Callithrix jacchus: one gene and its partner. The protein of the gene in region 1 interacts with the protein of each later gene in a biochemical or structural test. Links are inferred from orthologs where the notes say so. Each region holds a gene or a part of one and is shown on either strand. Other genes may lie near its edges.

Region 1 (4,529 bases):
GCACTGTTATTTCTACAGAAAAGTAGTGGATTTAATCCCTACAGAGGCAGCGCCCCCGTATCCTCTGGAGGTGCCTCCAGTCACCTAAAGAGACATCTTCATTGTGGCTCTCAACTCATGTGGGCTGTAAATTGCTGGAGAGAAGCGCTTTTTCTTATGCATTCCTTTCAAGTTCCCTCGGCAGGGACTACAATGAACCATCGCGTTATGACGCTGAAAAGTTCATCTCTAAAAAGCGATCCTAATTTAGTTTGATGAGCCTGACGGCGTCCCAACAGCGAAGTGCCGGGCACATAAACGGATGTCCAAAAATATAATTATTATAGGAATAAAAATTCACGCTGGGTGCAGTGGCTCACGCCTGTAATCCCAGCACTTTGGGAGGCCGAGGAGGGCGGATCATTTGAGACCAGGAGTTTGAGACCAGCCTGGGCAACATGGCGAAAGCCCGTCTCTACTAAAAATACAAAAATTAGCCGGCGTGGTGGCGCGCGCCCGTAGTCCCAGCTACTCGGGAGGCTGAGGCAGGAGAAATGCTTGAACCCGGGAGGTGGAGGTTGCAGTGAGCCGAGATCGCGCCACTGCGCTCCAGCCTGGCGCCTGGTGACAGAGTGAGACTCTGTCTCAAAAAAAAAAAAAAAAAAAAGAAAAGAAAAAAGAAAAGAAAAAATCAGCCAAGACTTGGAAAAAGAAATAAAAAAGGAAACTTCATGCAACCAGTTACAACTGGGCACCACTCACCAGATACTACACTAAGCTGGGGTTAGGTGCTGAGCAAAACCAGGCTCCTCTCTAGATGGCTCTCTAGGTCCCACGACCATGGCTTTGGTGACACCGGTAGCTGCGCGCTCCACAGGCTGTCAAGAAACACTCAGGAAACAAACATTGAAAATACTCCGTCTGTGGGCCTTTAGGAAAACCGAGTGACTTTTTTCGGGAGGGGAACCCATCCTTGTAAGCATTCGCGGAAACGGCAGTTTCATTACCGCGAGGAAGGGTCCCCTGAGTGCGTGCCCCGTGTGAGTCCCAAGCTGGACGGCCATGCCCTGCCACCCCGTTCCTTGCAGCATCTGCAGGCGCGGGAGGAGGCACTGCTGCCCAGCTGGGGCTTTCCGACTTTGGGGAAATTGAGGTTGCTTTCCCTGGCTCTGCGCAGCGGGGCAGCGCTGTCCACTCACTTCCCCGCCCACACGCCCTTGCCCTTTTTCCCCCAGGTAGGCAAGGGTCTACGCGGGTCATAACGGGAAGGCCACGCCGCCCATGGTGAAAGCTGCTCCCGGGGAGGGCGTGCCGCCGCTGCCATCTGGCTGCCCGCGCTTCCCACACCCCGCCGCGGGCGCAGCGGACTAGTGGAGTAAAGTCAGGAGATCGATCGAGAAGAATCTGGAAGAATCCGGTTAGACAGGGAAGCGGCCGGGGGTGGGAGGGAGGAAAGGCCAGGGGAGATCCCGAGTCCGAGGGTCCCAGGAGAGGGGAAGGGGTGCCGGCAACCAGCAGGAGGCAAGAACAAGGAGAAAAAAAAAAATCCGAAGCGCCCGCAGCCCGAGCCCGAACGGGATCAGCCCCGCAGTCTCTAGAAAGTTCTGCACCCCGCCCGCTCTGTCCGCTCTCCGGCTCCTCCCAGCCCCTCCCTCGCGGCGGGGCGGGACCAATCGCTCCCCGAGCCGCTCCTGACCCACCTACCCCCGCTCCCGCGCCGCGAGCAGAGGTGCTCCAGTCTCTGAGCGGTCCGCAGTTAGCGCCGTGGCGCCTGGCCTCCCGCACGCTCCGCAGGTAGTACCCCCACCGGCTACCCAGAGTGCGCTCGCGCCGGCGCCAGCTCCCGGAGAAACGGCTCGCCGCCCGGAGATGACAGCCGAGGAGATGAAGGCGACCGAGAACGGGGCGCAGTCCGCGCCGCTGCCGGTGGAGGGAGTGGACATAAGCCCCAAACAGGACGAAGGCGTGCTGAAGGTGAGGGAAGGCGGGGTCTGCGGGGGCGACCGAACCCCGGGCCCGGCGGGCCACCCTTCCGCCAAGCCGGGAGCCCGCGGCCGGGCGCGGGTCGAGGCGGCCGCCTCTGCAACCTTGTGGCGGTTTCGCCGGGGGCCGGTGGCATCGCCGTCCCGGACCGTGATGCGTCGTTTGGGGCACTGAGGGTGGCCACGCGCTCGGCAGGGGGCGGCCTAGGTGAGCCGGCCGAGGCCCCAGGCTCCCTATCCCGCGGCGCCCGGGCCCGGCAGGGGGTCGGGATTGCAGCGCCCACCTCGGCGCGCGCAGGGCGGCGGAGAGGGGCGGGGCGGCCGCCGCGGGCGCTCCAGCTGCAGCCAGGGGCCAGGCCGGGCTGCTCCCACGCCGCGCCGCCCCCTATCCCCCGGGCTGCCTTGTAGGTGGCGGTGCCAGGGCTGGCCCACCCCGGCTGTGGAACATAGGCCAGGACGGGGAGCGACTCCCCACAGTGCTTTCCTGGCCTGGAGGCCTTTGTGTGACGCAAGCGCGACAGGGTTCTGGCGCCCTCCTGGTGTCCCCTGCCGACACCGGGACCCTGCGAGGTCCCCAACTCTCCGCGCCCCCTCCCTCGCCCCCCCGGGGAGGCCGAGCGCGGGGAATGCCGGGAGCTGTAGTTCCCCCCCCCCCGCGCCGCCTCCCGGAGCCCGTCTGCGGGGTGTGGGGTGGGGAGGAGGCGCTCTGCTGTGGAGCCCGCGGCCGAGTGACCGCTCGACTACAAATAGCCTGGGGAGCTGGGTGGAGGGCATCTTGACCTGGGCCAGGACAACCTGCCATGGGTCGGAGCAGGTTCTGGGGAGAGTCCGGAGATGGTGAACTCGCAGCTCGCATCTTATGCCCTCTCCCTATCCGCTGCTCCTCCTCATCCTGGCTTCCCACCGTTGAGCTCCGCGTGTGCGGCACCCGTCTCAGGGGGCCTTTACCTGGTCCAGAAGTGCATCTGGCTTGGCACCAGATAACTGGGGACCTCGAGTGCCTGATCCAGCGACTGTCCTGTGGCATGTGGCTTCCCCTTCTCGCTCCAGCGTCCTGCTGTTTTCTATGAGATTGTTATTCTAGGAAGGATCATTTCCCCCTTTGATCCGCCATTCCTTCCCTTTTACCTTTCTACTCCTCAAGGCCCCTTTCCGTTCTTCATGGAAGCTTTCCCTTAGAGGGTAACCACACACCTACCAGGTGGCGCTAAAGAAGCCTGTAGTTGCTGGGAAATACTCCAGCCTGGACTTAATCAGGAATACTCAGCTCCGAAGTCAGAGTTCAAGGCCCCAGGGAGAGCCTCCGGGTTCACCTATAACCTGGTTTCTTCCTTACCTGTTTTGAACTGTTTCTTTTCTCTTCACTTATACTCCTCTCTTTCTCCTGTCTCCAAACCAGACCCTGATCTGATGACCACTGGCATGAAGGAAGGAGGAGGAAGTATGGCATAAATACTTCCCCATTTGCCGATGATAATAATAATCTATTATTCAGCCCTTTACTGGTCTAATCTTCCAACAGCTGTAGGAGATAGGGATCATCATCACTGCTTTACAAATAAGGTGTGGAGAGTTTTAAGAACTTATCCATACACCAGAAACTTGAACTCAGATCTCTCAGTCTTTTGTCTCTTTTTCAAACCAAGTCTTGCTGCACCTCAAGAAAGACAAGGTTAGTTGACTCCTAGGCTAAGCTGCTAGTAACCGAATCTGGAGGGACAAGTAGGCAGAGGAGGATGGACACAGAGAGCTTCATTTATGTTCCTGGAGGCTTGCAGACAGTGTTGGTGCCCCTTTCCGCCCCCACCCCTGGGGTACTCACTTTCTCCCCCTTCCTCCCAGGTCATCAAGAGAGAGGGCACAGGTACAGAGATGCCCATGATTGGGGACCGAGTCTTTGTCCACTACACTGGCTGGCTGTTAGATGGCACAAAGTTTGACTCCAGTCTGGATCGCAAGGACAAATTCTCCTTTGACCTGGGAAAAGGTAGGCGTGGTCAGTGGGCTGGCAGGATAGGTTTGAGGTGGACACAAACTGTCACAAGCAGAAACCATTTTCTCAGGACCAGGCTCAGGGAGGAGTGGTTTATCACACTCTGTTACTCTTTCTGTCACTCTTTTCCTTCTACCGATCTGTAACTATATTGATCTATGTCTTCTCTTCTCATCACCTCCCAGCACCTTACTCCAGCTTCAAAGGTGGACTGTCTTGCATCTTAAAACTCTTTTTTTCAGGGTCAGGTGATCTTTTAAGAGTTCTGAGACCTGGTAACACTTAATGCAACCAGGTATCTCACCTTCTGGTCCCATTTCTAAAGGATGTCCAGCTTCCCCGTGAGTGTGGTTCAGTAACTCTCCAGGAGCACTGTGTGAGCCCAGAATCAGAACCCTGCTAAGGTGATCCTGTTTGCCTCTATATCTGCAGGGGAGGTCATCAAGGCTTGGGACATTGCCATAGCAACCATGAAAGTTGGGGAGGTGTGCCACATCACCTGCAAACCAGAATATGCCTACGGTTCAGCAGGCAGTCCTCCAAAGATCCCCCCCAATGCCACGCTTGTGTTTGAG
Region 2 (3,811 bases), on another chromosome or scaffold:
ATGATAAAAGAAAAGTTTATTTTTTGATCCTTGATATATTGGTAAAGGTAGGTTAACAAAACCAGGTTCTCTTTGTCATAACACACAGCAATGTTGTATAATTCCCTTTAATGTTTATTGTTTGGTAAAAAGCTTTTGGTTTATGGAAGTACATGCAGAAAGGAACTCATTGGAGAAAAGACTCTGTCTTATTGATTGGATAGGCAATTCCATTTCAAGATTTCCCAAATTTTCTGGATATAAAAATTGTCTAACCTCATATTAACCTCATATCAGACCCATTGATTCAGCATCTCCAGGGAGAGACCTGGGAAGCTGTATTTTAACAAGTAGCCTTATTGTATAGATGTGGAACACAAGGTTTAGAGGTAGTTCAAGGCTACATTTATCTTTCGGCAACATTGGATCTAGAATAAAATCTCAGTCCTCTTGCCTTTGTGGTATGTTCCCTAAAAGAAAATGGAAAGCCTAAAATGCAAATGATTAAAATGGAAGTAGGAATAGGGGGTAGTACACAGAGCAGTTGTGACTAACAACCTTAGAGACCCTTGGTAAAAGTCTAGTAGAGTTTAAAGTCAATATCGATGGCTAAGAAAGATTAATTCTGAGAAAAAGGATATTATAAGAAACTGCTTAGTGATCAGTGCAAATATACCCAAATATATATTTGGAAAGAGCTCCATCTGTATGAATTATTGACTGCGGGAGCTGGGAGCTTTTAAAAAACCAGGTAAATGAGATGTTAAGATATGGCCAGTTAGAAAGCAATGCAGAGTTTTACCTGTTCAAGAAATACAAAAGAGATTCTGGACTAGTCTGTGCTTACAGCATGGGTTTGGGAGGTCCCGCCTGGTGGAGTCCCTGGGAATCTATTAAGGCAACTTCCAGAGTATACAGGTGAAACTCAAAGGACTTACAGCATGGGATTGAAAGGTACCACCTGGTGGAGTCCCTGGGAATCAATTAAGGCAACCTCCAGAGTAGACAGGTGAAACTCCAAGGACTTACAGCATGGGTTTGAAAGGTACCACCTGGTGGAGTCCCTGGGAATCTATTAAGGCAACCTCCAGAGTAGATAGGTGAAGCTCAAAGGACTTACAGCATGGGATTGAAAGGTACCACGTGGTGGAGTCCCTGGGACTCTATTAAGGCAACTTCCAGAGTAGACAGGTGAAGCTCAAAGGACTTACAGCATGGGATTGAAAGGTACCACCTGGTGGAGTCCCTGGGACTCTATTAAGGCAACTTCCAGAGTAGACAGGTGAAGCTCAAAGGAAACAGGAGCTTAAAGATCCGTTGACTTCTTATTTCTTTTTACTTTTATAGTTTTGACCATCATAGATTCTGTGTTTTGCTAGTGCATATTTTTAAACAATTGTATAAATAATTTTACTGTTAAGCAAAAAAATAATTGTATAACATTTTGCCAATATGTGCCTTCTTAAAAATAGTAATAATGTGGCTTTAAATACAACTTGTATTAAACAGGTTCAATTGTGAATATTTTTATAGTTATGCAGTCCAAAGGAATTATTGTTGGGTTTGCTTGAACTGATTGAAGAGCCCTCTGGAAAGCAGATATCCCAAAGTATTCTTCTTTTGCTTCAGCCATTACAGACAGGTAATGAGAATTTTGATATCAGAGTACTTCTTGTATCTCTAAGTGCCTTGATGGTTACACGAAAATATCAATACTACACCAAAGTAAAGTTTACAGCTAATTAGTACTCTTGCTAATTCACATTAGCAAGGCCAATGTGAATCCTGCTGCTCATAGAAAAATTACAGTATCTGGCCGGAGTGAGTACCCTATAAATACTCTGTTGAATGTCATTGTATTTTTTGTGTGCTACATTGAAACCTACACCTTTTTGCCTAACCTTCCTATCTGCTGCTTAAATCTAGAATTTTCCCTTTAAACATATTTAAAGGATACCTCTGTGGTGTCTACAGTACTAAATCTGATAGCATTATGGTAGTCCAGAAGAGTATCAGGCAGGGCATTGCTCAGCCTCTGCATTGGGAGGTTGGATTGGACATAGCAAAGGTAATGCTGAAGAATGAAATTAGAAGATGTAGGAGAAGACTCCATGGCTGAGTATAGTAATAATATTGGTAAGTAATAGGTCTTGGCAACCAAGACAGAGAGTATCCATGGGAAGAGGTTATTTTTCAGGAAATATGTGAATCTCACAATCTGTTAGAGGGACCTATCAGATTGTGAATCAGAAATTAAATTTGCTTTAAATATGAATGCCTACCAGCTTCATACCACCTGTAATATTCAGTCTACTAGAAAAAAAAAAATTGAATAACACCACCTCCTATTTGTGTAGTGCTCTGTAGTTTACAGTACACTCATATCTTGTGTTTACAGCAACCAAAAAACATGGTAAGAACATGTTTCTGTCTTAAGTAAATAGTCTGTTATAACCTAAACATTTCATGGCAAGGTGCTCTATTATTTTATGCACAACGGAGAAGAAAAAACACTGCCAGTTAAACTGTGATGTGCCATCTTGATTTCAAGACTTGTTCAAACGTGGGAGGAGGAAGTGTCTTATAATTCCACATTTGCTGAATTTCTTGTCTCATGTTTAGCATACTTGAAGAGTGACAACTTGATCTCTGTTTTAGTGATTCAGAAACTTCATAACAAAGCATATTCAATTGGATTAGCATTGTCTACCCTTTGGAATCAGCTATCTCTTCTTCCTGTTCCATACTCAAAAGAACAAATACAAATGGATGACTATGGCCTTTGTCAGTGTTGCAAGGCCTTAATAGAGTTTATTAAGCCTTTTGTGGAAGAAGTCATTGATAACAAAGAAAACTCACTGGAAAATGAAAAGTTAAAGGATGAATTACTGAAATTGTAAGTATATTTTTAAGAACATCTCATAATGGACTTAAATAATTGATAGTTCAGTTGTTTTATGTTTCTTCACCTTGTTTGACATATAAATAGAAATCTAGTTTCAGATTTTGAATTTTAGAAGCATATGGGGTTCAACTGATACAGCATGGTAACTTGAGACATTTATATTTAAAAAAAGTATAGGCCAGGTATAGTGGCTCACACATGTAATTCCATCAATATGGGAGACTGAGGTGAGAGGATTGCTTGGGACCAGGAATTTGAGACCAGCCTTGGCAGCATAGTGAAACCCCCATCTCTAAATTAGCTAGATGTAGCGGCATATGCCTGTAGTCCTACTACTTGGGAAGCTGAGGCTAGAGGATGGGTTGAGTCCAGGAGATGAGGCTGCAATGAATGATGATCGTGCCACTGCACTCCAGCCTGAGCAGCAGAGTAAGATCCTGTCTCTAAAACATTAATTAATTAATACAATAGTTATAAAACCAAAATCCATTCATTTACTTGATATTCTTCTATGTATTGCCTTTATTCATTATAGTAAGTGAATAATGAAAGCAAAGGAAATAGATACATATAGCTTAGGGTAAGTGTGGGAAATACATATATGTAGCTCTGTGGAGAAGGTGTTTTGTACACTTTCAAAGAAAGCAGCAGAAGGACCACCAGACAGAACATCCAACTTGACCACAAAAATAGTAATAACATATCCACCCAACAGCATTTCCTCCATGGGTACTATAGACTAAACATGTACTGTTTGATATGGCTGTAGCACTTGACATACGGCTGGTCCAAATTCAGATGTACTTTAAGTATAAAATGTCCCCTGGATTTTGGAGACTTGTTATTTAAAAAAACAAAAAAAAACCTCAATAATTTTTATATTGATAATATGTTGAAATGACAGTATTTCAGATACATTGGGTTAAG

What was found.
Region 2: the proteins of FKBP4 (region 1) and GLMN form a complex in vitro, tested with the Homo sapiens proteins (2 studies listed by BioGRID). The link is inferred for Callithrix jacchus from reciprocal best matches to the Homo sapiens genes FKBP4 and GLMN.

What each region holds. Positions count from the first base shown.
Region 1 is NC_133510.1:16,108,865-16,113,393, forward strand, and holds the start of FKBP4 (peptidyl-prolyl cis-trans isomerase FKBP4), read left to right. Parts: upstream 1-1,704; 5' UTR 1,705-1,848; coding exon 1,849-1,953; intron 1,954-2,621; exon of another isoform or gene 2,622-3,633; intron 3,634-3,803; coding exon 3,804-3,948; intron 3,949-4,386; coding exon 4,387-4,529. UniProt on the Homo sapiens protein: Immunophilin protein with PPIase and co-chaperone activities. Component of steroid receptors heterocomplexes through interaction with heat-shock protein 90 (HSP90).
Region 2 is NC_133508.1:130,015,080-130,018,890, reverse strand, and holds part of GLMN (glomulin), read left to right. Parts: coding exon 1-47; intron 48-1,512; coding exon 1,513-1,621; intron 1,622-2,637; coding exon 2,638-2,875; intron 2,876-3,811.